Drosophila melanogaster: one gene and its partners. The protein of the gene in region 2 purifies or fractionates together with the protein of the main gene of each other region. This does not show direct contact. Each region holds a gene or a part of one and is shown on either strand. Other genes may lie near its edges.

Region 1 (9,135 bases), on a different chromosome or scaffold from region 2:
GCTTGTGGCGCATGATAACATGATCCGATAATAAATTTCGTAAAAACTTTACGATTTCGATTTAAAATCGCAAAATCGTAAGAATTTTTTTATTTATAAAACGGGCACTTTTGAATGGCCGTAATGAAAAGTAAATGCCTGTTTTCTATCAAATAGGATTTTATTTACTAAGGGGAAATACGTGGTCTATTGATGTTTATTCCACACCATTACAAGATTATTCTGACATTTAGTTATTTTAGAAAAATTTTTTCTGACCTCAGATTTGACATACGATATTTTGCCGTCGGCAACAATTTTCGATTAAGACGTCACCAAAAGTTATCGCGAAGGTTGCCGTACTGTTGGTGAAACGAATAAGGCAAGTAAAACACTTGTATAATATATAAAAGAATTCATTAATAAATTTAAAGGAGGGACAAACGTGCTGATCGTAAATAATGCTATTTAATTTAATTACATAAATGGACAATGTCCAGTAAAAAAGTAATTGCGAACAACGGAATTAAAACTGTAAGGAAGGTGGCTGCTCTATTGTTTGGAAAACAGTTAAATAGCTGTTTTCTGTTTACAAAACATTCCAATAGCAAACATTTTGCAAAAACCAGAGCAGACTTAAAAACGAAATCAAAAGATTTGGCCACGATTTGCTACGATTAACGCAGCATTACTGATAGAAATTAACAAAACAAGCAGTGAAATAAAAAGACCCCAAAAAAATGTCGAAACTGTGGGCATGACAATATGCTCTGCGAAGGAAAATAAATTGAACATAAAAACAACAGAGAATGCTATAGTCTAGAAATTGGCAAGACAAACCAAACTTGCGCTGCGTCTGTGTCTCTAGAATCTGTATGCTTAATCTCAACGCAGCTTTTATAGTTCCTGAAATCTCGACGTTCATACGGCCGACAAAATATCTTATAAAATACATGCTTAATAATATGAGTACGTAAATATTTTCTTACCTGCGTTGCAAACTTATGAATAAAATCAATCATGTTTAAAAAGATTTCCACTCCTACAAGCCGACAAAAAATCGCGCGCCCACACCTTTGATAAAGATTTTTGGCATTTATTTTTTTTGGCTAGACTATTGATTCTGACAAAAAATAAAAAAAAAAACGTTACCTGATAAAATCTTTTCAAATAATCTTGTCTACGGATAAAGGGTAAAATAGGGTAAAGACTAGTATAAATTGGTATCCAGAAGGATTGGAAGATGGAACACTTCCCAGAGATTTATCGAAATTAATTTTGCAGAAACAACTGGGAAACAACTGTCAAATACTTGGGTATCTATCACGTTAGACAATAGGCTAAAATTCAAAGATCACATAAGTGACACAATCGAACAACTTAAAGCCATTATCTGCTCGCTTTATCCATTTATAAACATAAATTCCAGATAAAACATTGAAAACAAAATGTTCTGTTCAGGTCAATCTTCCAAGCACTATCTTTTTACGGTGCTCCAGTATGGTCAGAAATGGCCAAATGTCACATTAACCTGCTACAAATCAGACAAAACAAAATATTAAAACTAATCTTTAATCACCCTTGGCATCACTCAACAGCTCATTTACATAACCGAGCCAATATTGAAGTGGTTTATAATAGATTAATAAGATTGTCCCAAAATTTCTCTATTAAATGTCAAGAGGCTGTGCACCAGCATATAAATGATTTGACCTATCCACCTTAATTGTAATTTTTAGATAATAGCCTTTTTTAAGTGCTTAGATTTTTTTTCAATTACATAAAATTTTTTTCCCAATCGGTATAATATTTTCATTATCATATTATTCATATTGATATTAATATCTAAGTAGATAAGGTTTAATTATTGGCCTGTACTCTTATTATTGTTAAGGTTAAAATAAAAAAAAATTGGATGTCATTAAGCGTGAAATAAATGAAATGAAATAAAATTTTGCGGAGTTTATTCTTCATGTAATTTTAGCTAAAGTGTGAACTGTAGATTTGCCGTGTTTGTTTTACAGGCTTCTTAATTGACGTAAATATATGGGATATAATGTCATGAGTCAAGAGATTATCAAATATTAAATTTTCTGATTAAAATTAAACGAAAGTCCAAAAATACAAAAAAAAAAACAACTTACCGTAGGCAAAATAGTAATACTATTTGTAACGTTCTGTGTCGAAATCATATTACCTAAAATAGTTTACTTTCCACTAATATGTACTTGGACCGCACCCTACCAAGAAAATAATAATTTCTACTATTGGCGACAGCTGTTATTTGTGCGAATACAAACATGCTCAAATTAATAAAAGTTACGCTTACAGTTTGATTTTAATTTTTACGTTTCATTTTATTTTTTAATAATCTCGAATCTTGATTTTGCTGAATGCTGGATTTACTGGCCATTACCTTTCCTGCCCATTAAATCGTTGTTAAACATTGAACATTAATGAGAGTTTCGTCGCAGACTATTTCGTAGGCTTAGACAAGTAAATAAAATGTAATTGGGAATGTGAAATAGGTGGTACCTTGATTACAAATAAAAAAGGTACGATTTCGAAAGCATTTTAAAAATAAACATTTCAGAGTATTGCTGTAAAAGTTGTTTTTCGTACTTTTTATTGTTTCTATGTGGTAGTATTTTTTTAGCCGGTTGGCATACATTTTTCTGGGGTTGTTGCTGGCAGCTTTTTGTTACATTTTACTGAATTTTTAGTTTTACTTTGTTCGATATAAATATTCATACTCAAAAATAAGATACGGTTGTAAAATTAAAAATTGTAAAGGATTACATATGTTATTTTGCCGTAATTGTTTTGATGTTTTTCTTACTTAAAGATTTTGTTTGCAATTTGTTTCATTCGCTTCGTATTTTTTTTTACAATTATTAAATTTGACGCTTTTGTTTACAACTTTTATTCTTAAAACATAGAGGGTCTCGCATCTTAATTTCGCTTAATATTGTTCTCTTAATCCTTCGCTTTATATATATATATACTTTGCTTTAAAGTTAAGATTTTAAGTAAGTTTTTAAATAATAATGGATTTTTTGTTTTCGTTTGTTGCCGGTATTGTTGGTTGGTAGGTTGTTTGTTAGTAGAGAGAGAGAGAACCGGTACGCTATAAAACTACGCTCCCATTGCCGGATTGTTATTGGAGAATTGCGCCCGCCACCCAAGCAGCCACCCACGTATCACCCGCTCACAAGAGCGGAAAATGGATACAGTCCGGGTTCCTGGCGGTAGAACCGTAATTTCTGTGATTTGCTTTTTTTGTGTTAGTAAGTATTTAATAAGTAGATTACTGAGTTTGCTGCTCCGCGGGCGATTCCCTTAGGCGGCCACTTCGCTAGCCTCGGCCCCATTCTGAACCTCATCCTTTGTGCTGGCCTCATCAAGCTTAGCCTTTTTCTCCGGCGTGGCGACGGCCTCATCTGCCTTGGCTGCAGCCTCATCCACCTTCCGCTTTACAGCCTCAATGGCGGGAGCATCTGTAAGGCGATAATAAAAATTGAACAATAAGAACATGAACGTGGAAAATTTGTTTGGCATTGATATCATTGATATCATCATACCTGTTGAGTCACCGTTGGTGACCTCCTCGGAGCCATTCTCGACAGCAGGTAGAACAGCTTCGCTGCTCTCTTTTTTGGTGTCCTCCCCATCGGCAGCGGAATCCTCTTTTTTATCCTCGTCCTTCTTCTCATCCTTATCGGCGGCAAAAGAAACAGTGGGCTCAGACGCCTTTTCACCATCGACTGCGTCGGTGGGCTCGGTCGCGCTGCTGTCGGCGGCTCCGTTCTCCTTGGCTACGCTCTCCTCTTCGGCGCCACCGTTTTCTGTGATGCTCGCCTTCTCAGCTGCTACCTCCTCGGCGGCAACTGCATCTTTCTTCACAGCATCAACTTCCTCAGCTGCGACCTTCTCGACAACAGGGGTCTCACTGTGGGTGATAATCAGAGACGAAAGTCAGTATGCACTTATAATTTTTTCCGAAGGTGGCCGAACTGAACTTCGTATGCATAGCATTCTACTACATACAAAACTCTAAACAGTAAATCAATTAAAAATTATCAAAAACTAAAACTATTAATTATTAATTAATTAAATATTAATTGAATTTAAAAAAAAAAAAGAAAAATTTCAATATAGCGCCGGTAGGTAACGTTTATGTTTTCATCCTCCACTTTCTATTCATAAGAGCCCCAGGACGTTCGGAATTAAAACTAAAAAAAAAGTGCATTGTTACATCTGCCGGCGTTTTTCAAAAATGGGATCAACAACTCGTGCAAGCTGCGACGCAAAAGGAAGCGCGAAAAGGTGAGTGCGATTAGGCGGCACGCTCTTTTTCATATAAATGGCATATATTCATTTGTTATTTCAGTGCTCTCTACCAACAGATGAGAACAGGGTAGAACCAAAAACACGCTTGCAGACGTGCAAAATGAAAAGCGAGACCCGTTTAAACTAAAACGAACAAAGATAGAAATAAAAACCAGTTTTAATGGGATTAATGACAATATAGTCGTTTCTCTCGCACTCATCTACCAACAGATACTCGCCATCTGAGGTAGATAGAATTCTATAGGGCGAACAAAAAGAGAGTTGCAAAGTAGCAACGCTAAACGACAAAAATAACGGTCCAAACGATACAAACAGTAGCATAACGTCATACAACCTGCGTCTTTCAAAGAAAACCGGAACAGCCTTAGGCATGAGTTTTGTTTTGTTATGTATTATAAGCTGCAACATATAATAACTACTTAAAAAAAATATATACATAAGTGTTCATCGATAGGGAAAGAGGGAGTATTTTTGGTAATGCCAATATAGATATGCGTGAAAATTTATACTGTTAATTTCAAGCTTCGAGCTTTAAGCTATCAAATGGGTATAAAAGGCAAGCCTCGAAATTTGATGTCTGGTGAGAAACGCAGCAAAGCAACATACGAGGTAGCACAGACAGATGAAATGAAACAGCACAAGAAAAGAGCGGCAACTTGAATGCTGCACACGCATACACACACACATGTCTATAGACTTTTGCGCATTTGGCCTGTCGTCCGCATACACTCAACGCATTACTCCGCCGCTACACACACACACACAAATAATTCATCGTTGCTGTTTGCCGGCCGGAGAAAGAGCGAGAAGGCACCATGACGCCGCGCCAAATTAAACGGCGTCGGTTTTTGCGCGCACACCGTTTTGCCTTTGGCGGGAACGAGACAACTACATTAGTGCCAACAAGCGGTTTGCGTATATAGACACAGAATTCAAAAGAAAATTTCCAAATCTTTTCGGCAAATAACATAGATTTTCATTAGCAAAATTCGCTACAAGTCCATTGCTTAAACAAAATCCACAAACGTCCGAAAACAAGGCAAGCAAAGTACTCACTTCTTTTGCTCAGCCACATCAGCCATTTTGAATTACTGTTAGATATTACTTTTCAAACGCGAAGCGAGAAAACACGTTGTAACTGAGGGTTTTTGGATCACCAAGCACGCCTTAAATATCAGCACAAAGATTTTAAAAGAACGAAATTTTATCAATATAGTTTCCTCTTTAGTAGCTTTGCTAAGAAAGTAGCTTGGTTGCTGGAGATTTTGCCGTACAATTAAGAACGTCCACACAGTCACAAAGAAAAACGCCGAATGAGAGAGCGGTGAGCGTCGGACCGGCTTTTAAAGCGCCGCCCTGTAGTGTTGGTAGACGTCGGTAGTCCGCTTGCGATAGTTCCGCCTCCGGAAAACATATCTTTGTTTGTTATCGTTATCACCCGTTCTCTATTTAATTCGGAGTTAGCTTATGCTGATAGATTTTTACAATTTTATTTTAATATATTAAAGAGATGAAATATAGCAGTGACAAATATTTCAAAATAACGGTCCCCTAAAAAGGGCTGCCACCTTTTAACTATTATTTAGCGGCTACACAAATATAGCAGGTAAAATATTCAAATGCATTCCTATCCTTGTTTTTCTCATTGACCTGAGTGATTTTTCGTGTAATACACCTTCCCAATTCTAAGTTTTTTTTTTGATCCGGTACTCCTAAAAATTAAATAAACAAACACACAAACATGTATGTTCATATATATATATATACACATATCGTCATTTTTAAAAAATTCAAGCTTTTTATTAAATTACATCAATCAATTTCCTTGTAAATTACACAGTCTACAAGATCTTAAAAATAATATCTTAAAGATATGTCATATGTATGTAATCAAACACATAAAACCGACGGAAATAATCCTCACCCCTCTGAAAACATTTTCAGGTAGTCAGATATGCACGCATAAGTACGTACATACATACATATGTATAGTGGCCTTGTCTGCGTCCCTTGATCGGTATAATAGAAAAAAGAATTAGAGTGCGCTACCAGGCAGCTGGTAAATTTTCTGCTTCACTAAAATTTTACAATATTTTAGGCTATTGGCAAGGAAAACAATACACTAGGACTGAGATTCCATTGCCGAAGAACATAGACGCTATTATACATACATATAATTACAAGTTTTCAATTTTCATAAGTCAACATTTAATTTTAGGTCTCATGCTAAACTCCACTTATTGATCTATATTGATTGACGATCAATCCTCGGTCTCGAGCTTTTTTAATATGGACTTTGGGCTGTAAAATTTTAATGGGCTTTTGCAAAGACACTAGAATAATCTAGTGTCTTTGGCTTTTGGAGTGAAGTGCATTCGCTCTTGGATACAAGCGCTATTAGATTTTTAAGATTTTATTTATTGAAATTCAAACTTTTGCTTTCGAGCTTGTGAGTGTCGGCTTGGAACGTGAAAACATGCTGATTTAATAAAATTGGACAACGGATGTTTGCTTTACAGGTGGGTGATTTGTTTCGGGTTTTCGATTTCATCGTCTGTAAAATTTTGGGTTTATTCCATTTAGCCTTGCTTTGGGGTTGTTTCTTGTTTCTAAAATATAATTATAGGAACGAGGCATTCGTTTGTATTGAAAAGTCTTTACTTCATATAGAACCAAACATGGTTTAAAGATTGCCGTCAAGGAAAGTATGACTTCCGAAATCCGAAGGGCATCTCCCAAAATTTCGAGAATTAGCTTTTGAAACTTTCGACACGATATTCTAAGGCGATATATCGACCAATAATTAAAGAAAACAGATTTTTCCGCGACGCAGGAAATTGGGCACTACTGGTCTAAGGTTAATATTCTCAACCATTTTGAAATCCCCTTGAACGCACAAAAAAGATTGAATTCAAATCAGTTATGCTCTAATGTCTAAGTTCGCAGCAAAGAATTATATACGTAGATAAGCACGTACATATCAATGAAGATACCTATATTCTTGAACAGAACAAAATTATATTTTCATCACAAAAGATGATTTCAGAGCAGTAAAGGTGTCATCGTTACTAGTTTTTTTACATCGTTGAGGCGGGCTTTGATTTGAAATCAGTAGATTTTTTTAAGGAAAAAAATCAACGGATCTATTTACTAAATTCATAATTTGTGGTATTTAAAAAATAACATTTAGAAAAATAGACTTGGAAATGCCTTTTTTTTATTCTGAATAAAATTCTTTGGTCCCCAAATTACTTACTAATGTATAAAAAGTATAACGTAAATATCTCTTACTCATGTTTGTATACTATGTTTAGTGGACATCAATAAATGCAACAGAACTCTACTATGAAAAATTAACCAATTTTTTTCTGAAGCGTTATTTACATTCTGTAAGGCATTTAATCAGTGTGGCTTGCATTATGAGTAAGTGAGTGGCAAAAGCAAAAAAAATGTTCAACCCAAAATTCGATAAAAATATAAATTGCCATACATAAGCATTTTTAAAGCCGCGAAACCGGCCACGTCCACACTTTTGAACAATTTTTAAATTTTGTCGAATTTTTTCCTAATAAATTTCTCCGTTCTGAAGTTATTAATTTTGGCCAGAAAAAGTGGTTAGGTTTCCCATAGTGCAGTCCACCCCGACACACTCACACAGGCGCTGTCAAATAGCAGCTGCACTCATTTTAAGGTCAGCTGCATTCATGACGTTTTCTTCATCGGTCAGTGGTTGCCTATTGGCGGGAGACCTTAATGAGATTTAATTAACTTTATGCTCTTCCGGTAATATTCTGAATACGCTATTGTGCAAAGGGACTCTTATCAGGATAGCCCAGCTGTACCGTTATCAGTGCATTGCTTCGATCGCATGCGCAAAAACGAGCTTTCAGCCGAAAAAGCTTGCTCTCGTTCGACCTCTGAGCGTTTAAACATGAAATAACGGAGGTCCTTGCTGGTGAGGCTGAAATCGACAATCAGTCAAGTTTATCGGGGCGGCTTAGTTTAGTCGAAGGATATTGCTCGGTGTCTTGCGTGCAAACTTGCTAGCAGAAAAAATTTAACACATCGAAAAAGCAAATAACCAGCATAGCAAACGTATGTTAAGGAAGTAATCAAGGCGGACGGTTATCAATAACTTCCAAATATCTTGGACTTATATGCTGGAGCTGTTAGTTACTGGGATACAAATTTAAAGCAAACGAGGGTTTGTTGCAATAGGCAGAGGGTACACACGCTCGCGAGCTGTTATACAAATGAAATCAAATAGAGCATTTAAACAAGCCTTGAGAAACTGAGCCTAACTCACACAAAGAGGAGAAACACATGTACGCGCATACCTAGACAAGAAAGTGATTTTCCACAAGAAAAGGGACGAGAGGTGTGTGTTACTTAGTTTGTCAGTCGAATATTTCTCAATGGGGAAATGAAGAGGTAGTCATATGAAGAGAAAGAGGCAGCGGTGGGGTAGAGAGCAGCGAGAGAGCGGACGAAATTTTCTGATTACAGTTACCGTGGTCTACTATGGTGTCGAATGCTGCAAAAAAGGATCACGAGTTTTAACAGAACAATTTCAATATGATAACCAACTTATCTGTAGTGGTTAGGCAACATTTGATATTTATAATGTTTTTGTTTTTTATGTTGTCATTGAACAGTTCCATTACGGCAATAAATGTGCGGTACAGCCATATGCAGGTAAGCACACACTTTCGTGCTCTAACAGTTGTACATATGAGAATATTCACCGCTCTCTCTCTCTCAAGGACGCTTCCGCAGTGCATTTAATTTGAGTGGACGGAGGATGCA
Region 2 (8,386 bases):
CAGAAGCAAAAGGTCATACACCTGCTGCACACAACGAAAAAGAAGATAGTTGTCCTCAAGTTGCTGCAGCGCAAGATCAACTTTTTGGCCACAATAAAGCTGGCCGAGAAGTCCATTATGGGATTTCCGAGCAAGCAACGTTTGACTTTCGTAAATCTAGCCCTCGGGGAGTTTCTAGATAATCGCCTCCTGCCCGCCGACAATCAAAAGTTGATCAAATCGATCCTACATCGTGTTAATAGTATCAGCGACATTATGCGGAATATTGGTGGACAACTTAACACGTCGGAGTCCTCGAGTCTGGTATATAATCACTGGTTTCTGGACACTTCGGTGCTTAAGGAGTACACCGAACTCCAACGCAATCCCTACTCCTTGCAGGTTGGTTTCTTACTCAGTTTCTGGCAAAGCAACTTCATGTTTATGCCATTTATCATCGGCAGAACCTCGTGTCGGTGAGCCATCATCTGGACAAGATCATGGCCATGTTCAGGGGTTCAAGGTGTCCCAAGCAATCAGCGAATGACTTGATCATTGAGTTTTTGAGCAACCACCTGGAGTTCTTTCTGCGCGTGGAGGCCCTTTCGCATCTCTTCCAGAGCCAGGATCAACCATTCCAGCAAAGTGCCTTAGACTATCGTCTCTGCATCAATGCAGTTGCAGTTGAAAACGATGGTGATTACAATATTATAAAAGGTAAGATATCGGTTACAAAACTGAGAGATCATGCCATTCATTAACATATTTTAGATCATCTTGAGAACTATTTCACTGCCACGTTCTACAACTTAACGACAATCGCTCCGCACGACTGGAAATCGTATGAAAAGATGCGTCATTTGGCCAACAAGGTGCTGCAGCTGCAACCCATCGATGACCACCTGCCCAATCAGATAATTGACCAGGTAACCAATTGAATCATCAATAAGCAATCTCTTCTATTAACCAAACAATTCTTTCCCACTTTCAAGGGCATAGACGTGCTGCAGATCATGCGGAATATACACACTTTCGCCTCCTCGTATGCCTACAACATGAACCTGCAGGTGTTCGTGGAGACGAACAGCAGGAGCAAGCACCTCGACATCATTGGCACCCGGCACGTGGCCAACTCGGTGCAGACGCACGGCACCGGTATCATCAACACCACCGTCAACTTTATATACCAGTTTTTGCGCCAAAAGTTTTACACCTTCTCCACCTTCCTCCACGACGAGCAGATCAAGTCGCGGCTGCTCAAGGAGCTGCGTTTTCACACGGAGCACAAGCACAGCAAGTCCTATCAGTCGTATCCCTATGAGCGCGCCGATAGTTTTCTTAAGAAGATCAGAAGGCTAGGCTGCTCCAGCAATGGCGAGACGTATATGGATCTTTTCAGGAAGGTTATCACACAAGTCGGTAGGTGGTTAAAGACCATAATTCAAGAAAATGCTTAAAATATAAACGTAAATATTGCTTTTAGGCAACGCTGTTGGCTATGTGCGCCTCCTGCAGGCTGGAAGCAAGAATGCCAACTTCCGGAATCGCTCGTATAAAACCAGATTCGACAGCAACTTCAGTTGCGGGGGCTCCAAAGTGCACGAGGCTACGGAGGGTTCCATCAGGGAGTACGAGAAGAGCCTGGGTCACATGAAGGAGTGCTATTCCGATAGCACAAATTACTTCAAGGTGCAGTCTACGATCTTAACAAGTTAGGTAACCAGCTTAACCCATGGATTTATATTGCAGCTTCTTCTGCAAGGCTTTCAGCCCTTTTTGTGCAATCCACATAACCACCACCTGCGAACCTTCTACCTCATCACACCGGCGCTCATCATGAACTACATTGACTACCGGGTCAAGCAGAAGCTAAAGATCTACAAAAAGGACCAGACCAAGATCTCGCTGTTCGAGGATGGCTTCGCCATCGGCCTGGTCTACATCCTCAACATGCTGAACCAGCAGACGGAGTTCCATGAGCTGGGCTGGAGCCAGACGATCACGCAGCACCTGAACGCGGAGCGCTCCAAGGTGCGCGACATTTTGGCGGGCCAGCAGCGGACGGCGCCGGAGCAGCTGGACGAGAAGCTTCACCAGACAGTGGCGATAACCGAACGACATGTGAACGCCTACGAGCATGAATACAATCTATTGTACGCCACCTTGAGTAGCTCCGAAATATTCTTCCAATAAAATATGTCCATTTACCAAAACCAAAGATCCCAGCAGTGACAACAAACAATTGAGTAGTTGGTTGCCGTTTATTCAGATTTATTAAGACGAAAATACAATTCCGATTCCGGTACATAGCGTAGAACGTTGGTATATATATATATATATGCAATTAGATAATCAGCATTACTAATACTATTATTAGTAGTAAGTAAGCCAACATCAAAAGATCAAACATTTTTCTAAGCCCCTCTCGACTCTTGTCGTCTCATTGTTTTTCTTCTTTGTTTTTTTTTTTGTGAATGGAAATGTTAAAGTTACAGATTTAATGCATATTATATAGCCAATTGAACGCTTTCTGACATTGGTGGGCACTAATTCTATTCACTTTTGGCCCCCACATACAATTGATTGGCCAAAGGAAACCCAACATGTCTATTGAAAATATGTTGGTTTGTTATGTATTTTTCTCGTAATATTACAGTACAGTAATTGGTAAAAAAAAATGTTTTGGAGAAAATGCAAATGGTTTTCGTCTTAACAGATTTTTCTTCTTGCAATGTTGCTGTTGCTTTTGCATCGCACCTTCTTAAAGAGAACCAGAGTTAGCCACAATGATCTTCTTGGAGGTCTTGCCAGACTGCGATCCATAAGATTCGATCTTCTTGACCACATCCAGTCCCTCGACGACCTCGCCGAAGACGACGTGCTTGTTGTCCAACCAGGCGGTCTTCACAGTGCAAATAAAGAACTGGGAGCCGTTCGTGTTGGCGCCAGCGTTGGCCATCGACAGGATGCCGGAGCCGGTGTGCTTCAGCTCGAAGTTCTCATCGGGGAACTTGTTGCCGTAGATGGACTTGCCGCCAGTGCCGTTGTGGTTGGTGAAGTCGCCGCCCTGGCACATGAAGTTGGGGATGACGCGGTGGAAAATGGAGCCCTTGTACCCGAATCCCTTCTCGCCGGTGCACAAGGCGCGGAAGTTCTCGGCGGTCTTGGGCACGACATCGGAGCGCAGCTGCAAAATACAAACAAAAGGGTAGAAATTTCGTTAGTAAACAAGAAATTAATGCTAACAAAGTATGACTCTTTTTCAGTTCTTCAAGGTTTGTTTATCCGAACTCGGATGACCTTGCCACTACTTTTTGCTTATTTATTTCTTTTTTTTTTTGAGGACTGGACAATTTTCTGTATAATTCATGTTGAGCGGCAGTAAACATGATCAGCTGTTTTTTGACGCCGCTTTTTTTTCATCGCCATTTTTAGCCCTTTGATAATATACATATGCATGTTCATATGTATGTGCATATCTATACCAAGGGAAAAAATACATATAATGCACAGAACTTTGCAAATGCACTAGAATTTGAGCAATTTTCCAATTCACCCAGTAATCGAGACAATTGTATAAATTAGTCAAGTAAATGCTTTTCCTAATGCCGCTTCTCTATAAATCTTCAATTGTTTAGTGTAGTAATTCGGCGTGAAGTGCAGAATTTTTCGCGCACTGCATGTATGTTCAAGTGTGCGTATGTACATATGTATGTCCTATTGGAAGGAAAATCCTAGACATGTGGCTTGGTTTACTTGGCGGGCAATGACTTTATTCCCAGGCCACTAAAAATATACATCAAGCATTCGCGTTTCCTATTCTTTTTCTCTATTCAAAAATTAGGTGTACATTACATCATCGGCGGAATTAATAGTGAGTTCATGTTTGCAAACGGGTTTACAGAACTCGCGCATTCACACCCGAATATCTCTGTGTGTACACTGTACATCTGCGCGTACATTACCCGCATGCACACATGTACATATGCAAGCACGACAAGAACATACAGACATACGCGAGTGACCGCTTAGAGGTTATGTTCGTGTATTGATCTGCATGTGTGTATGGGTATGAGCCACACATACGCAGACCACGCCGGAATGTACATATATAGCACACATGCACAGATGCATATAAAATACCGGTAAAAATTGCACACCATTTCGGCCAAAGTTTGCCGACACGTCAATTAAAATAAGGAAAATTCCATTCTATAAAGATAATACCACCAAATGGCCGATTTGCGGGGGTTGGTGCTCCTGCTTGCCTGTTTGCTCAAAATTCAGCGATGTAGAGATAATTATAGAGATTTTCCGATTAAACGCGCCTGTCCAATTGGGTTGGAAAATTGAAAATTTACCCATAGCGCATTGTCATGCAATTAGTCATGGAAAGTAATTGCACTTGTCGCTTATAAATTAGAGGGCGAGTTTGCGCTGTGTGTATATTTGGTACAAGTTTTAAATCCGTAAAAATAAAAAGAAAAAAACGGTATGTACTTATCACCTGAGGCAAATAATGTAAAACACAGTCTTAGCTTTAGGCGTAAGAAATGGCTTTATGGGAAATCACGTGTTTTTCACTTTCTGGTCAAATGTCACAAAAAAAAAAACCTCAACTTAAGTTTAAAATTAAAAAAAAAGGGCAAATAACTCACCTCCATGACGATCCGACCGAGGGGCTCGTTGTCGGCGGTCATATCAAAAAACACCCTAGGCAAAGTACTCATCTTTGACGCTTTCGAATATTCGCGAACAATCTGAATTCCAAACTGCAACTGACCCCTATTCACACTGCACGCTGACGAAGCTAGGGTTATAGATTTGTTAGCTAAAATGGCGGACTCCGCAATCTGAAATGCCGCTGCCGACCTGTGCCGAAACTGTCGAATCAGAGTTGCACAAAAAGAGACCATCGTGTATGGCTTGCGACCGCATGTACGATACTACGATATCGTTCCGTGCGTTCCATTCCGCGCGTTTCGCTGCTGCTGCGGTCGCAGCAATTGTTACATCACTTTAGGGCGCCCATAAACGCACTTTGTGCTGCCCATTCCCCCATCAAAACGGATAAATGGTCGCGTTCATGCGCCCTTTTTACAATTTTTATAATAAATAAATACATTTACTTGCGCTCATTTGAAACCGCCAATCGAAACAACGCATTCGCCTTCGTTAAGTAAATATCTTACAAAAAATTACAGCATCGTGATCAGCGATCACTCCTAAAAATCAAATATTTTTTTGCTTTTAAAGAGCCATTAAAATATAAAACTTAAAGTTGAAATAAACACAAGACTATTAAAAAATTAAGATAATTGAAAAATAGTGGTCACTTTGAAATAACCATTATTCTAAAACAGCACATTGTAAACCCAAAAATCACGGCGAAATCACAGGATTATTATAAAGACTTTTTAAGCATAAATTGTTAAAGCATATATGCAGCTATTTCTATAGCTTTTTAAAAACAAATGTATTAATTATTTTTATACATGTATTCATTATTTTAAATTACTTGTTTTAAATATTAACGTTTCGATAGTTCAATTGTGCGTGTCGCATTTTCTATTTTGCCATTTTAAACTATAGTTAATAACTAATAATAGTGTTTTACAGTATTAAGTCTTACAAACTTTTAAATGTAATTTGGAGAAACGATGGAAAATAAATAAATAAATATAAATAATTTTTGTTTAAATGGCACGATAAAAAATAATTGACCTAACAAGACAGCCTGTTTCAAAATTATTTTTCGATTACTTGAAATGATTGCTCACAAATAATCAGCAATTATCGGAACAATGTTTTCAAATTTGTTTTCCGCTTTTTCTCGCGCCTTTTGTTGTGGTTTTTCTGCCGCGAAATTTGAAAATGGCGTTCAAGGTGAAAACTAGTTGGTGATTCATTTCTGAAAACGTAATGAATGCAGCTGCACGGTCTCAACTACTCTGAGTACTTTTCACCACCTAATTGACCTTTAACTCCCAGTTTAAATGAACTCGTCCTTCTTTTTACATTTATCACTTTATTATTACAATAATGATACGTATATTCATTTACAAAACATATCCATTCATTGTTTTTACATATATAGCATTTCATTTCCCAAACCCATACCCGATCCACTATGAAATAGTGAGATTACCATTTGCCTCCCTCAGTGAATTTAAATGAAAGAGATTAATACAAACCCAACTCGAATCAGAACCGCAAGCCACGCCATTTCATTAAACGGAAATAAAGCATTAGATAAACGCATGACAAAGGCCAGAAGAATTTCTGATTCAGAAGTAAAACTAGAAGGAAGTATAAGCATTGTTTACAATACTACATACATACATACATCAATTGGCAATTAATTACATAAATTAGAAGCACCAAACAAAAACGATATGGCTGGCTAGCCTGGAGCAGCAGCACCTTGGCATGCTTATCCCCGAAAGCGGTTGAACTATGGACACCTGTTCCACGGCTACATGCATATTAATATAAGCGAAGCAAAAGCTTAAAAACAGTGATTATCGTGCTCTTTGATTAATCGCTTTGGAATGCCAAAGTCAAAGCGTTGAGAAGGCGTTTTACAGATTCGGATTCGAGATATATAGCGGACGCCCAGACTTAGAACTAAGAAGACTTTTGTAGAGCGAATCGCAGGATTAGCAAAAAGATGCCCACATGGGTCCACACTTGATGGAATACCCGACTCCCTCCGCTGGCGGCAGCCGCAACGAGCGGCGATTTCTGATTGTCACGGCACATCGTTTGGTTCCGAATGAAGTTGAACATGGACTCGACGAGATTCGCCGGTGTTATGTCCGAGCATTGCTCCAGTTTACGGACCACACACGCCTGCAGAGTCAGCATCTCGTCGCACTGTTTCTGACCGACCGTCAGCTTGGGCATGCTCCTGATGCGGTTGTCCTGCAGATCCGACACGTTCAGGTACTCGGAGAACGTGCTGTTCACGCACTGCTGAATGTTGTCCTTCTGGGACTCAATGCATTCGGGTCCCTTTTCGGCAATGAACAGGGCTATCTGATCGCCATCCTTGTGGCACACAAAGTTGAGCAGACTCTGGATGATCTGCTTAATGACATCCTGGCCCTCGCGCTCCTCCTGCACCAGACAGGGCACCAGTTTGGCCGTGAACGCATCCACACACTCGACGGCATTCGAACGCCGGCTGCAGTACTTGTTGAAGACCACATCCAGTTCGCCCTTGGGCGACGCTTCCTGTATCTCCTGCTGCATTGCCGTGTAGTTGACAATGCCATTGAGGCACTCGGTTAGCACCATGAATCCGGACTCGATCTCGCCGTATGCCTCGACGCCCGCCTCCTCGCCGGCCACCTCGATGCATTTGTTGCGAAATAGCTCCTTGGCGTCGTTCACGCTAAAGTTTGACTTCCTCAGCTGGTCGGGCAGCTGGGTCTGGATCTGATCCAGGTCTAGCTGGGCCATTATGCCGGCAGTGGCGAATATAACCAGCCAAATGGCGTATATCGCATGGCTTACATATGTCCTGTGCATGATGTTTGCTGTATTTTTTGCACTCCTCTTTGTCTTTTTGCTTGCCTCCTCTTCCGTTATTCTCCTTTGCTCTGGTTTTTAAGCTCTGAGATTTGCACTTTTGTTTGTGATTCTATGCGCTTCAAGCAAACATATTTGTTCGTTTTGCGAAATATGCCTATGCCTTTGGGCAATTGGAAAAAATTAATTTAATTAGGAAATCACTGGATGGAAATCCCAATTGGAGATTCTATCCCACCCGTCGGCTAGAGATGGCACTTCGTCGATGACGCTTTCGATGCAACAGCTCACTATCGGCTTTCCGCCGATAAAAGCGTACGATCGATCTATCTCTAGTTCAAATGAACAAGTTCTCGTAGAATTCAGTCTTTATTCTAATCTTCAGTGTTTTGTTTTTTTTTTTAGTCGAAAACCAGTGTCAGCAAGTTGAAGGCGAGAGTAGTTTGGAGGTCGAGGCCTTGGATATTTGTGTGTGGCTAGGGTGGCACATGTGCAATAAGGAGGCGGAGGAGACATGGCCTCCGCGGAGCAAAGAACCGAAGTGGACGCCCTTATGATGGGGCCGATCTCGAAACTAAGCATGCTGCTCACTGTGGTGTCCATTCTGTGGCGCTTCGTCTCGATTTGCATCAACTGGAGCCTGGCGTACGTGTACTGGATGGAGGAGTCCTACGGATACTGCGCCTGGACCATTGGCTCCATTCTGGTGCCCATGGTGGTCACATCGGTCATATATATACATACGTATGTGACATATCGCGATAGCGTGTACTTCCCCCGAAATCTACAGCTAAACGATAAATTTGTATTTGAATTTCAGCTTGAAGAGCGCTCATGCCGGCGAAAAACGCATCCTGGAGCGAGGGGTGTACTC
Region 3 (6,732 bases), on a different chromosome or scaffold from region 2:
ACAGCACCCACCTCCATGGTGCCTCCATCCATAAGCAAGGCATCCAGGGATGTATCTCCGCGCTCGTCGGGATTGCCGCCGTAGCCAACAGTCTTGGCGCACTGCAGCTTTTCGCACATGGATATACCGCCCACAACGGCGCTTCTCGTCTGTCCAAGTCCGCCCTTTTTCACATTGAGCAGTCGCCACGCCTCCTTTTTGGCTTCCGCAAAGGGCCAGGTGTTGATAACCATCGGCAGGAGCGGTGTTGTGGTTTTTTGTCCGGAAAAGTATTTATAACTCCTGTCACAAATCATCAGAATATATCAGAAGCAATTCACTGTAATCCGTTTTTTTTTTACCTACCAAAGTAGTAATGCCACCAAAAGGATGCATGCGAGTCCCGCAAATAACTTCTTCATAGCTTTATTTTTGATACTGGGAGTCACCGGAGAATCGTCTCTTTTTATATGTGACGAAGTCAATGGAGGCACGCATTATAAAACTATATTTTGTTCGCATAAATTTGCACTGAGAGAAATAGATATATCGAATTATAATATGCAAGCAATATTATAATTCTTATTTTGTAACAGCGATGATTTTGATAACAGTTTATAATAATATATAATTTATAATAATAAAAATGTTTCGTTAAGTAACTACTTTATTTGCACTCTAAAAAATATATCAGCCTGTTAACAAATATGGTAAAAGCTAACAAAAAACAGTTCATAATAATATTCATTGACCAAGTAATTTGATTCTGTATTCACGTGAGTTTCGAATCTATCAACATACTACACATATGCAAATGACCTACACTGGAAATAAAAAAAATTTACATTTTACTATAGATTTCTTACTGATGTATGATAATGGAATAACCTTTAAAGCAATTCTGTATTTAATATGTTAATTTATATGTTAATTGAATGCGAATGCTAATAAAATAAGAAAAGTTATGCTCGAAAAATGTTATCATTATCAAATTGGCAAACCAATTTTAGGCATTATTAAAACCACGTGCCAGTTATGCTGATATTCTCTTTTGTTTGACAGGTTATTATGAAGATGTTTGAAAATTTCTCAAATATATCCAAACGTATCGAGTTCTGGACAGGGAAACACAGTATCGCTGCTGCCAATAGTTAACAACATCTGGCCATTTGCAGAAGCAAACGTGCTCGCTCCATCTGAAATTATGCGGAATTGGACAGACGAGGAGATTTTCTGGATGGACAATGGATCAGAAGAACGCGCCATCCTGTCATCCGGACAGGCACGAATCGAATCCGAAAGCACGTAAGATTCTTCATGAATACTGCATTTTGCTGATGCAGAAGAATTGTGATTACCTCTTGCTTTAATTTTTTCCTCTTCCTCTTAAAGAAACTGTATCTTATTGTAGATTAGACCTATCGGTAGATTAAAAGATTAATACCAACATGTTCATTTTTTTGGAAATGCAACGTATTATCTTATTTGAGCACCACCTTGAATATAGCAAACAATGGAAGTTCTTGAACTTGTATTTGTAGATAACTCAGTTCGGTTTCTTTAAAAGGCTCCTGCAGTCATGTAGAATGAACCATAGTATACCAAGCCGGGAAACCAAACATCGCTGCTCAGTCCAACATGATTCTTAGTCAAAATGATGGCATAACCGTACGAGTTATGAAGGAGGACGACTATCCAAGAGTGAAAACCTTCATGACGGACTACTTTCACTACGACGAGCCCATGGGAATGGGTCTCGAGGAGCCCATTCACCTGCAGCATGAGGAGGAAGTGGATAGGCAATACCTGGCGGTGATCAGGCAGGGACTATCCATAGTGGCACTGGACGATAACAACGGGGGACTACTGGTTGGCATTGCCGTGGCGGAGACGATGGATCCCATCGAAATGGCCAAGCAGCACAAGGAAGCCGAGGAAATGGAGCCAAATGCTTTGGGTCGCAGCAGGAAATTTATAGCCAAAGTGGAGCGCGAAGCCAACATTTTCGAACGCTTCGGAGTCTCCTCCTACCTGAGTCTGCTGGTCATCTCCGTTCACCCCTCAATGAGGCAAAGAGGTATCTTGGTCATACTTTCCAAATGTCTCTTTAAATTGGGTCGCCTGCGGGGACACACTCTGTTCATCACCAGCGGAACCAATCACTACTCCTCCCGGTCGGCGATGAAAGCGGGATGTGAGTGCATCCATTCGGTGGCCTATGCTGACTACAAGGACGAGTTGGGTCGGCCGATATATAATCCACCAGCGCCCCATACCCACATTCGGGTCTTGGCCTCAAAAATGTAAAAATTAAAATAATTTATTAATTAATTATTACTTTGGCCTTGGCAATTGATAAAGGTCGTCGAGCTGGAAACGCAAGTCCATATGGATCAAATAAAGTAATAAAATGTAGAACGGTCTACTTTATTGTTCAGATATTGTGTTGATTATGTATTTATCGACACATGACCTTGCAATAATTACAAAATCTGATATTAAGTAATCACTTTCCACTCGATGTATTTATCCTCAAAGATTTTGGGTCAGAAAACCATATTCGAAAAATGTTTATTACTAAAAGGATAAGTCAGTCTGGCACTTCATTAAAAATAAAACCAAAAGCCGTTGGAAACAACTTTCTCTTCGCCAAACAGAAACAATCTATAAATATGATAAGCCATTATCAGTGATAAGCGCCGAAGTATAAAAGCCATGTACACATCGGCGTCCTCTTCTGTCTTAAGAAAAGCATATAGAACGAATTAGCTCCGGATCGCGATGACTCCCACGACAATAGATGGCGTCACGATACGCATCATGCGCCCAGAGGATTATGCACAGGTAAAAGCCTATATGGAGGCTGAGTACTACACATCGGAGCCTCTGTGCCAGTCCAGCGGCGAACCCGTTCACCAGCAGAACGAGGAGATCAACGACGCCTTCAACCAGTCGATAATCGCCGAGGGCACCAGCCTTTTGGCACTGGATGAAAACGATGGTGGCCGGATTGTGGGTCTAGTTCTGGCATGTGCCAGTTATCCCGATAATGTGAATGCAGGAACATTGAATTTGAAGCTCGAGAATGTGGAGGATAACGCTTGGGGTCGAATGTATCATTTACTAATGAAGGCCAAGCGCGAAGTCAATCTGTTTGAGCGCTACGACATCCCGAAGGCGCTCTACTCCCACGTGACCAGCGTGGCCTCGTGGAAGAGGGGCAAGGGCCTGGGCTCCCGCCTGGCCGCCACCCTGATGGAGCTGGGCCGATCGAATGGTTTCCCCCTTATGATGGCCTTCTGCACTAGCTTCTACTCCGCTCGCCAGAAGGGGGCCTTGGGCATGGAGTGCATCTATTCCATCGACTACGCCGACTATAAGGACGATGAAGGACGAGTGATCTTCACACCGGCAGCCCCACACACAAAGCTGCGAGTGATGGCAATCAAACTGTGACAGTTGATAACAAATAACTGAGTCGAGGAATTTAAATAAATTATATAACTATAGTTATGTTTATTTAATACTTAGCACACTTTTGGGGGACCTATACAAGTTGACCAATGACCAATGTGTCTCGGACTTTAAGATAAGAGGCAAGATCTTGCACTGCTTTATTCTTTCGGTTCATAGTAAACAATTCAAACGGACGCGCCAAAATACAAAAACGTCCTTATCGATAACTCGGAAAGCAATTGGTTTTGATAATTAATCAAATTGATGTGTGCGATAGTTTCCGCTCACCGACCATCGCCCACCGCTAGCTGTCATTCGGCGACGCGACGAACTGAAATCAACGTGCTTATTTTCCGCTCGGTAATTTGCCAGAAAAAAACTAATCGAAATGGGCGTACAAGTAGTTCCAATTGCTCCTGGTGATGGTGAGTATCCAATGATTGGGTTAGAATCCGCAAGAAATGCCGTAAACTACCGGCCTTTCTAACCTATTTAGTGCATTTTCGCAATGCACAATTCGGAAATACCTGCGACAATATGGTCGTCCCGCTCACACACATCCATTTTTGCATTCCCCGCCCGCAGGCAGCACCTATCCCAAGAATGGCCAAAAGGTCACGGTCCACTACACCGGCACCCTGGACGATGGCACCAAGGTGAGTACGAATCCCGATCCTCGCCATCCCCAGCTAATGATCCGCCTTGAATTCCACGCAGTTCGATTCGTCGCGCGACCGCAACAAGCCATTCAAGTTCACCATCGGCAAGGGCGAGGTCATCCGTGGCTGGGATGAGGGAGTTGCCCAGTTGAGCGTCGGCCAGCGCGCCAAGCTGATTTGCTCGCCGGACTATGCCTACGGTAGCCGTGGCCACCCCGGCGTCATTCCGCCCAACTCCACCCTCACCTTCGACGTCGAGCTGCTCAAGGTCGAATAGGCGCACAGGATGCCCAATGTGTATACCCCAAACCAAATCGCAGGGGGTTGCGGACCGGCGCACCGGCGACGAGCCGAAGAACATCATAATCGGAACCAGAACAATCCAGCAGCATTTGCCAACCCAAAATAATAATGATAACTTCATACACAGCTCTAAACTAGAACTAATTTAACCGCAAAGGGAACGCATCTTCTACCAATACAAATAAACATTTATTCAAGTCAATGACAAATGTCTTTCTTATCAAAAATCTTGGGATAATCCAATCAAATCAGCTGCGGTTGCCTTTCCGTGCTGCAATACAAATGCATTTCATATTATTTTTTAATCAGGAAAATATGCAAATATAAAAACGCTTTATCATTCTCTTGATAGACTTGAAGTGGTCTACTTGACAAATTTGATTTTATTTTATATAAGTATATAAAGTGTACAAGCATCTTATTTGCATATATATTCGATTTGGAAACAGGATTTTTTTTAATTCTTTGTGCACAATTAATCCAAATTATTTTTCATTTTCTATACCACTTCCAAAATCACCTAGATACGCTTCAGTTTTTGCAGACCAAGCTCATAATCTTGTCAATAACTTCATATCGCTCCTTTTCATACTTCTTGATATGCTTTATCCAGTGTCCGCGCACTTTCTTCCAGCGGTTCATATTGGAGGACAGAAGATCGGAGGTACTGGCACCTTGGAGAGCCTTTTCCCGCTTCTTGTCCTCCTGGCTGAACTCCAGACGAGGCGGAATTATGGGCAGATCCGTGGACTTGGCCTGCGGGAGCTGGTTGATCACCTTTATCTCGCCGCTTTTAATTTGGGACAGGATTTCTTCGCCGTTGTCCTCACGTTTGGTGGCCGTGAGTGAAGCATCTGTTTGAAATGCACCCACAGCTGGATTCTTGGGTTGATTTGCCATCCATGCGCGGCATATGGGGTACAAAGGAGTCTTATCCTGGTATTTGGACAGGTCCAAACTTCGCTCAAACAGGCGCATTACGTAGGTCTCGCCGGGCGCCTTCTGGGCGACTGCCGCTGCTCCAACGCTCTTCTTGTAGAGCACTCTCCTGGCCTTGATGCGTCCTCCGGCGCCGGCTGCGGCTGCACTCGAGGATGTCGAAGGCTTCTCGCTAGAGCCCGACGTGACCGTCTTGACTTTCGGATCTAGCTTTACCTGGTACTGACGCTGCTGTTGCTGCTGGATGAGCAGCTTCTTCGAGGGACGGCCCCGAATGGGCAAATCCGACTCTGCGTCGTCGTCCGGCGGCAGGTTTGTCGTCTCTGGTTTCTGCTCCTCACGGCGCGACTCCCGCAAGCGCAGGGCCGTTTCCTTCTTTTTCGGCACAGTCTTCATTTCCAGAAATCTTGTATTCGACACGAAAATTAAGGGAAAACAATTTCGAATGCCGAATCGGAAATCAAACGGACTTACGGCGCTTCACAACACTGAAACACCACTTCGCCACGCAACACTACATAAGTCAGTGGTATTTCAAAAAATACCATAAATTAAAGAAAACAAACGGTCTTGGCGCCTAACGCTAGCTTGAGAAATAATTCTTTGAATTATTTGTAGCTTAAATGAAAAGAAAAAAGAATAACATATATATTTTTAAACAAAAACTTAATACACATTAATATTTGACTATTCAAAAATATTTAATAGACTTTGATTGTTAAATTAATACTTTTGTAGATTAAAAAAAAAAAAACAAGGAAATGAAAGTCTTAAAAATTTGGTATTTCTCGATTTGGTAATTTTAACCCAAAACCTTTCGGGCTTTTCAACCCACCTTTTATGGTCACACTGCTGTTTTGTGATCGCGAAAAGAGCGACGTGAAAAATACATTTAATTAAGTTTACTGCGAAAAATAAAATAAATAACTAAATTAAAACAAAGCGGAGCTTTTGCGTGAACTGTGTGTGTAGTTGTGAGTGTGTGAGAAAAGAAAAACGAAAACAAAGCCAACGAGGAAATCGAAGGGGCAAAAGTGGAAAAGATTCAGATTGAAAAGCACCAAAATATCGAAATCACAATTTGAATGTCAAAGAACAAACGACAAAAAGAGCGGAGCAACAAAGGAACATTGGAAAAGTCAAGAATTTAACTTATTCGGTAAGGATGCAAATTGTAAATCTGTGGATTTTGCTTCTTCTGCTCACGCACACATCCACATACAATTGGGAAGTGCACAGGTGTGGGTGGATCTGCTCTGTGTGCAAATAACAAATTGTGAAAAACAACTCGCACACATGCAGATCACCTAGTGCACCAAATAAAAGCAATAAATAAACACATTTCCAAACGGGCAACAAGTTGTGAATGCGTTTTTTAAGGGGGAGGGGCCATACC
Region 4 (7,131 bases), on a different chromosome or scaffold from region 2:
TGATCACATCAGAATTGACGTTGACATTGGCTACAATGTGGGCCAGATCACAAAGATCTTGGCCACTGAAACTCGAAATTAACGGCACCAAGCGCTTTGCGATGATTAGCTCGCGCTTTGAGAACTCTAAAGTTATGATCTCTGATTTTATTTCCGAAGTCTCTAAAGGCGCCTCGTTTTGACGCCAAAGATGAGGCGCCAAAAGGCGGTTCCAGTTCACTTGAACGCGTGGAATATTCAAAAGCTTGGCACGTCCATTATCCGGAGTTGTATTCATAATCATAAGCGCCAAGTTTTTCACATTGAAGTGAAAACAGTTGTAGCAGGCATTAACCACGTCCCGAGGCTTCTCTTCTAGATGAGTAATCAGTTGGACCAGGCGAACAGGATTCACTGGTCCACACATTGTGCCCTCGACTAGGGAGATCTTAAGCTGCAAATATGGTAGCAAAGATTGTCTGACTGTGGTCGTCAGTTGGTGTTGATTGATCGCGGATGACTCATCTTGCTGCTGGCGGGGATACAACTGAACCACAATGTTACGCAACTCAATTTTGTAGTTACAAGTGGGCACCAATCCCATCAGATACTCCAGATCAGGTATAGTCATTTCAGAGTTCTTGTTTTCCGGCTCGGGGACACCGCGATCCTCATCCTTCATCGATTCTGAACGATATCCCGGGTAATCGTAAGGACGAATTAAATCACTAATTACCTTTTTAACCTGGACGAACGACTGCGAAAAGTGGAACGTGATTCCGGCGGACAATAGACGATACTGGATGCGAACTCCCAGATCTCTGAGCTGGCTCTCCGCCACGGGATGGCTGCTGGGCTTAGGCACCCGGTGCTCGATGACGTCGAAGGCCAAAACAGGACTGCGAAACAGCATGTATTCATCCGTGTTCCTGGCCACGTAATCCGCGTAGTTGTAGCTGCACCAGGACCGTTCGGCGAACATGTAGTTCTCGTCAAACAGACTCTTGTCAATAAAGGATCGCTCTTGCTGAAACTTTATATAAAAAATAGTAAAGAGTGAAGGCAATAAACAGTCTTAGGATCAACTCACTTCCTGGGTATTGACCAAGTTGCGATCCACGAGATCGTCGCTACGGTAAGCACCTAATGGCTCCATGCACATGCTAGAAAGGCCCGCCTTGACGTTGGCCCAGTCGCACTCCTTTAGAATTGTCCGCTCGTAATAAAGTCCGCCCAAACTAATTCGCAATATTGGGGTGTATCGTATTCGCTTGATGCCACCCATGCTCTGGTCGGTAAAGTACTCCGAGTTTTTAAGCTGGAAGTTCAGCTCCTCGGCGTAGACTCCCAGATCGAAGGCGTGACCAGTGGGAGTGTCGCAGGACGAGGAAGGCGCCTCAGTATCGAAACTGGGCAGTAGGCTCCAGGCCCACCAAAAGACGCTTCGTCCTGCGGATTCGGTCCCCTGTTGCGACTCGCTGCCCTCAGCTACCGCCTCCTGATCTTCTGGATTCTGGGGGTCATCCTCAAACTCGGCTGGCTTAAGCTCGAGCAGCATTTTGACCAGCCTCATCACCATGGGGAACTGCAGAGATGACACGTTGATATCCAGCGACTTCGTGAAAACTCCAATGCGTGTTGTGCTTGTTGTGGACACCGTGTTGGCGTTGTACTTGCGGAGAACCCGGCACTCCAGAGTACATCGGTAGAGAACCGGCTCCTGGCACACCTCTATCCTACCAGCTGTGTTGCGCTTGTCCAAGCAGATGGTCAAATCTGAGACCTGGAGCAACTTGCGCATGACGACGGACACCGGGTGTATGTCCACCATAGTGGGCTTCCAGTCCTCGCCGGCGGAGCTAAAGTTAAGGGTCTGCACATTCATAGAGACCACGATGTCGTCCTCCACATACTTCAGGATGATGTTGTGGCACTGCAGGTTGATGTTGTTGATGATTTTGTTGACCACGCTGGAAGAGCTTGCCGGTCCAGGACTCTTCGTCTGATCCGGCTGCTCCACGGACTCCCGCTTCGATTTCCTTCGCTGCTCCCGCTGGAAGGAGGCCCTGCGCTGCTTGCTCTCACTATCCGGCAACTTGGCCACGAATTCTATGGTATTGATGACGATCTTCACGGGCTCGGACATAAGCTTGGTCCACGGCACCAGGATGCTGAGTTCATGAATGTGGCCGGAAACTAGTTCTACTGGGAGGTTCAGCTCTTCCTCGAGCACCTCCAGGCGCAGGTCCAGATTCTGGAAGGTGACCTCGCCTTCCCACAGCGACACTTGGGCATCCTCGTCGCGGAAGTTCTTCACGTACTTGGCCACGTAGCTCAGCAGAATCGGAGTGATGTAGGACTCCAGTTTGAACATGGTGTGGCGACGCCGGAGGCTCAGGCCTCGATCCCAGCGCTGTTGACTGCTCACTTATATGACACTCTTCATTTAATGCGTTGCCGGCGGTTAACTTGAATTTACATGCTGTGAATTTTGCTACAATTCTGGGCCGAATATGTTTAACAAAACAAACATAGCCATAGAATTTTGGATTGTTTACGTTTCAGCCCCGGCAATCTGCCAATCGTTATCGTTATCGGAAGGTGCGAATTGGCAATCGATAAATTAACCTGTGAATTGCGAAGTGTAAATAAGCCTTCGAACAGCTGATTATTTTGTTGACGTTTAACGTGCAGCGGTAGGCTTTCACAATTTCATAAAAATGCCGCAAATTACGGAAAATGGCCAGGATTTTGGTGAGCTAAGAATGGGTCTAAAGTTACGCAGAAGTGATAATACAAGCTTTCACCCTTAGATGTGGTCAAATACTTCCTGCAGCTCCTGGACGAGGACAAGGATCTGTCCTCCGGCATTGCGGCTATCAGGACTCTGCTAATGATCCTGGAAAAGAAACAATGTTAGTGGGCTAATAAACCTCTTTACTGAACCATTTTAAATCATCTACAACATATTCCTCAGTTGGAACCATTCATATTCTACACACAACCATGAGGGAAGCGGTGGCTGCCATGCGGAATACGGATTTGTCTATAGCAGCCATTGTTTCTGCCGGAGAGCTCTTTTGCAGGTTCATCACCCTCAGTCTGGACGACAAGCACATGGAGGAGTGCCGGCAGATTATGTTGAATCGCGGAAAAATCTTCCTCACCAAGTTGCTCAATTCCCGGCAGGTTGGCTCTCATACGAAAAGCTAGTGCTAGCGCATGAACTAACCCCTCATTGTACCACCCAATCCAGGTGATTGCCCAGCAGGCCCAAAGGTTCATTACCGATGGCTGCCGTATATTGACGCACTCCCGATCCCGGGTGGTCCTCAAGGCGCTGATTACAGCCTCGCAGAACAAAAAGTCCTTCCACGTTTATGTGACGCAGGGCGGCACGGGAAACTCTGGGTAAGCTAGGGTGTGTTTCCGATAGAATTCAGGTGTAAGCATTGTCCGTTCTTAGCGAAGAGATGGTTAAGGATCTGCATGCGGCCGGCATCGATTGCACGCTCATTCTGGACTCAGCCACCGGCTATGTTATGGAATCGGTGGACTTTGTGCTTGTGGGGGCTGAAGCCGTGGTGGAGAGTGGTGGCATTATCAACCGCATTGGCACCTACACCATGGGTCTGTGCGCCCGTGAGATGAAGAAACCTTTCTACGTTCTGGCCGAAAGCTTCAAGTTCAGCCGTCTGTATCCACTCAATCAGCGCGATCTGCCAAACGAGTACAAGGTAGGTTCTTACTGCGTCATTAAAGCAGGAACGGCGATTAAGAGTGGGTTTATTTATAGTACTCCCGCAAACACCTAAACGATGTAAGCAAAGTGCACCCGCTGGTCGACTATACGCCACCCGTCTACATCACCCTGCTCTTCACCGACCTCGGAAGACTAACACCCTCGGCCGTAAGCGACGAGTTGATCAAACTCTACATGTAAGGGCGAATAAAGATATTGCACTTAAATACCTTTGTTTAATATGACTGTTTGAGATGAATAAATAGGGGCTCGACATTACTGAATGTACATAAGCTATAAAGCTAGTTACTCTCGCTTACACCTATGTAGAATTTATATTGTGTCTTAGAACCGCATCCTTCGCGAATAGCTCGCGTCTACCTCGTCTTCTGACCCCCAGGGATCGTAGATGTCCACGCTGTAGTGGGACGCTTCGCTGTTGCCATCGTCGTTTGTGTACTCCTCATCTGTATAGATGTCACTGCCGCTTTCGTCGTCCGACCAGTGATCGTGCATCCTAAACTGATCGTCGAGGCCATCCTGAACGTCGTCCACATCGCTGGCATTCTAAACAAAAAAAATACCAATTTATAATGCCACATATGCATTTTAATAACAAGCAACAATAACCGTAAAAAAAACATAACAATCAAGTAAACAGGTTTTAAAATACGAGTATCAACGAATTAGATTTGCAAGACAACTGCATCACTCACAAATTGCCCGGACTGAATGTTGATCTCGATCTGCAGGCGGATGTCCATGACGAGAAATGCAGTTGTGACTATGACAGGGATGGTGAGACGACTTTTCCAAGCGAGGTCCGTGAGAAACATGAAGACTTTACCGAACGTGGATTCCATTGTGATTTTGTTAATGCTCAACCGAGGGCTTATCCTCCTACTCCTCCTCCTGAGCTTCTTCTGCCGACTGCTGCAGAGCGTCGTGCTCCACTATGTGGAAAGTTTCGCCCACGTTTACGGCCTGAACGGGCAGCAGGTGCCGATGGAGGCGACCGCTTTCGATGGGCGCGTCTAGCTCAAGGAACTGCTCGAAAATGGAAATGGGCACTCCCTCCGAAGACAGCAATCCCCGCATGCAATCCTGCCGCTTGTCTCGCAGGTTGTCCAACAACTTGTTGCCCTTCTGCACCCGGGCCAGCTTCCGCTCTGAAATGAATGCTATTTAGTGGGCTGCTCTTCGTTTGACAAACTGTGTCCCCGTACCAAGTAGCTTTAAATAGTCGCTGGAATCCGGAAGGGGCTCGATTTTCCCGTCCTTTTGGACGTTGCTCTCGTTTCCAGAGGGCAAGGGCGTGAAGTTGTCCTCAAAACTTTCGCTATTATTCGCGGACCCGGAGATTCCTTGCTTAACTATAGTATTTTTCAAGTGCCAGGGATCGGCATTGCCAAGTGACATGTTTTAAAAACCAAATAAACCTACATAAATCCAAAAAACTCCTACGAAAATATTGTATTATTTGCAGTGTGCCCGTTAGGGCAATCCTCCTGAAATACCAAAACGCCCCGCGAGCATATTCGACATCCGCACGACATCCGCAATAATTTAATTTTAATAGGTTTCCTCAAATTTAATAAAAAATAATTGTTTAACTAAGATCGTAAAAGAACATATTTTCATGTATCTGCTCTGCATAATATTTAAAGAGACTAGCATTAAAAGTTTTCGCATTTAAACAAATTATCCGCAAATTACCCACCCGGTATTTTCACGCTCGCGACACGGTCATACTGCTTGGATCAACGCCATCAACACCATGGATGTTTCGGCTCTTTCGGAGACAACTTTTAGTCCTGCGGAATGGATAAACGCAAACTACAAGAAGTTTGTGGAGGAGAATGGTCGCGATGATAGCGAGGCTGCCTCCGCCTTCATCAGGAGTTACGTGGCCAAGTTGCAGCTGTATATATTCAACGTAAGTGGAGCTGCACATCCATGGATCTGTTGTAAACATTATCGATTTCCAGGTAAACAATGCTGTGGAGGAGTCAAGTCGCCAAGTGGTGGCCAGCATGCCAAGGATCGCTAAGGAATCCGCAGCGCTGCAGGCAGATGTACACCGGCTGCAAGAGAAGATGAGTGCCATGCGATTGGAGGTAGCTGCAGTGCAAAGCGAAACCGGCGAATGCATGGCCACCTTGGAGCGCTTGAACACCAAAAGCCAAAAGCTCCAAGTGGCCAAGGAATCGCTACAGGAGTCTGATGGCTGGGGAAACCTACTAGCTGAACTAGAGGATGGATTTGAACGCAATGATCTAAAGGTGTGCATAGCAAAGCAGTCTCACTACTGAGATCCCATATTAATTAACTCTTTACAGGGAGTCTGTGATAAGCTAATAGCCCTGCAAAAGTCCCTGCACGCCCAGGAACAGCTGCCAGGCCACGCTGAGCGACAGACCCAAGTGGAGGACTTCAAAAACCGCTTGGAGGCGCTTGCCTCCCCCAGCGTGGTACAGTGCTTTGCTGAAGGCAATACGGAGCAAGCCCAGCACTTCGTTCAGATCTTCACCAGCATTCAGCGGCTGCCACAGCTGCAGCAGTATTACCGAGCTGTGCAAAAAAATTTTTGGCAGCAGCAATGGAAGCAAACTCTGGAGTTGCAGGGCACGGAGTCCCAGCCTCAGCAGCAGCAGTTTCTTACCCTTTACTACGATCAGCTGCTCGAGCACTGCCAGCGCCAGGTCAAGTGGTGCTCCAACCTTTTCGGCGAGAACTCCCCGCAGCCCTTCCTGGTTATTGCCGAACTATTGCCGGCATTGCAACCCACACGGGATGCCCATATTTTGCAGCTTTTGAAGACCTCCAATGAAAGATTAGAGATGCTGGCCTTGTTCGCCAAGGTTAATCACAGTTTTGTGCTGCACTTAAACTCCCTTCTTGAGCAATCGCACATAACCTTGTCCGAGGAATTGCATCGCCTGCTCGGTGAGGCGATTTTCGAGTATTTCCACAAGTTTATCCAACAGTACCCGCGCCTGGAGGAGACCCAACTATCCACACAGGTAATGCCATGTAATAGCTAAGGAATTTTGAATTTTATTCATAAATATTCCATCTCAGGTGGATCGCCTTTCCTCCAACCAAGCCACTCCCAGCGATGGTGTGCGACATCTAGAGGAGAGTACCCGGAAGCTCTACGAGTGGCTGAAAGAGGCCTGCGAACGTTGTGCCTCTATTACGAGTGATTTGGCTCTTTGCAAACTTATCACCTTGCTAAACGGCATATTCAAGCGGCAGCTGGAGAGCTTTGGGCGCATCCAACGTCAGATTGGACTCAGCCTGGGATCCAGCAGCTATGCGGCTCAGAGTGAAAACTGGTCGCTGTTGCAGTACACCATGTCTCAGCTGCAATGCCTGGCCGACTTTCAGGTTCAACTGCATCAGTTCGA

What was found.
Region 1: the proteins of Cyp1 (region 2) and Df31 purify together in Drosophila melanogaster (affinity purification with mass spectrometry, with the first as the bait; one large-scale study listed by BioGRID). This does not show direct contact.
Region 3: the proteins of Cyp1 (region 2) and Fkbp12 purify together in Drosophila melanogaster (affinity purification with mass spectrometry, with the first as the bait; one large-scale study listed by BioGRID). This does not show direct contact.
Region 4: the proteins of Cyp1 (region 2) and CG42557 purify together in Drosophila melanogaster (affinity purification with mass spectrometry, with the first as the bait; one large-scale study listed by BioGRID). This does not show direct contact.

What each region holds. Positions count from the first base shown.
Region 1 is NT_033779.5:21,624,282-21,633,416, forward strand, and holds Df31 (decondensation factor 31), read right to left. Parts: upstream 5,652-9,135; 5' UTR 5,412-5,651; coding exon 5,386-5,411; intron 4,696-5,385; exon of another isoform or gene 4,370-4,695; intron 4,306-4,369; exon of another isoform or gene 4,181-4,305; intron 3,929-4,180; coding exon 3,561-3,928; intron 3,477-3,560; coding exon 3,319-3,476; 3' UTR 2,028-3,318; downstream 1-2,027.
Region 2 is NC_004354.4:16,315,442-16,323,827, forward strand, and holds Cyp1 (cyclophilin 1), read right to left. Parts: upstream 4,930-8,386; 5' UTR 4,896-4,929; coding exon 4,638-4,895; intron 3,167-4,637; coding exon 2,741-3,166; 3' UTR 2,232-2,740; downstream 1-2,231. Other genes in the region: SWIP (strumpellin and WASH-interacting protein), read left to right, coding at 1-381, 444-696, 751-905, 972-1,398, 1,463-1,668, 1,729-2,172; CG9917 (uncharacterized protein), read right to left, coding at 6,607-7,512; CG32579 (uncharacterized protein), read left to right, coding at 8,027-8,256, 8,333-8,386. UniProt on the Drosophila melanogaster protein: PPIases accelerate the folding of proteins. It catalyzes the cis-trans isomerization of proline imidic peptide bonds in oligopeptides.
Region 3 is NT_033778.4:19,286,366-19,293,097, forward strand, and holds Fkbp12 (FK506-binding protein 12kD), read left to right. Parts: upstream 1-3,743; 5' UTR 3,744-3,823; coding exon 3,824-3,860; intron 3,861-4,020; coding exon 4,021-4,091; intron 4,092-4,152; coding exon 4,153-4,371; 3' UTR 4,372-4,597; downstream 4,598-6,732. Other genes in the region: CG10474 (uncharacterized protein), read right to left, coding at 1-233; AANATL6 (arylalkylamine N-acetyltransferase-like 6), read left to right, coding at 1,618-2,286; AANATL4 (arylalkylamine N-acetyltransferase-like 4), read left to right, coding at 2,761-3,435; mip40 (Myb-interacting protein 40), read right to left, coding at 4,929-5,732. UniProt on the Drosophila melanogaster protein: PPIases accelerate the folding of proteins. It catalyzes the cis-trans isomerization of proline imidic peptide bonds in oligopeptides.
Region 4 is NT_033777.3:29,931,396-29,938,526, reverse strand, and holds CG42557 (uncharacterized protein), read right to left. Parts: upstream 5,241-7,131; 5' UTR 5,141-5,240; coding exon 4,948-5,140; intron 4,891-4,947; coding exon 4,622-4,890; 3' UTR 4,585-4,621; coding exon of another isoform or gene 4,438-4,584; intron 4,289-4,437; coding exon of another isoform or gene 4,067-4,288; 3' UTR 3,940-4,066; downstream 1-3,939. Other genes in the region: Vps13B (vacuolar protein sorting 13B), read right to left, coding at 1-1,012, 1,070-2,353; eIF2Balpha (eukaryotic translation initiation factor 2B subunit alpha), read left to right, coding at 2,700-2,733, 2,793-2,894, 2,957-3,168, 3,236-3,390, 3,446-3,716, 3,776-3,922; CG42558 (uncharacterized protein), read right to left, coding at 4,067-4,288, 4,438-4,584; Cog7 (component of oligomeric golgi complex 7), read left to right, coding at 5,499-5,657, 5,710-6,003, 6,061-6,744, 6,803-7,131.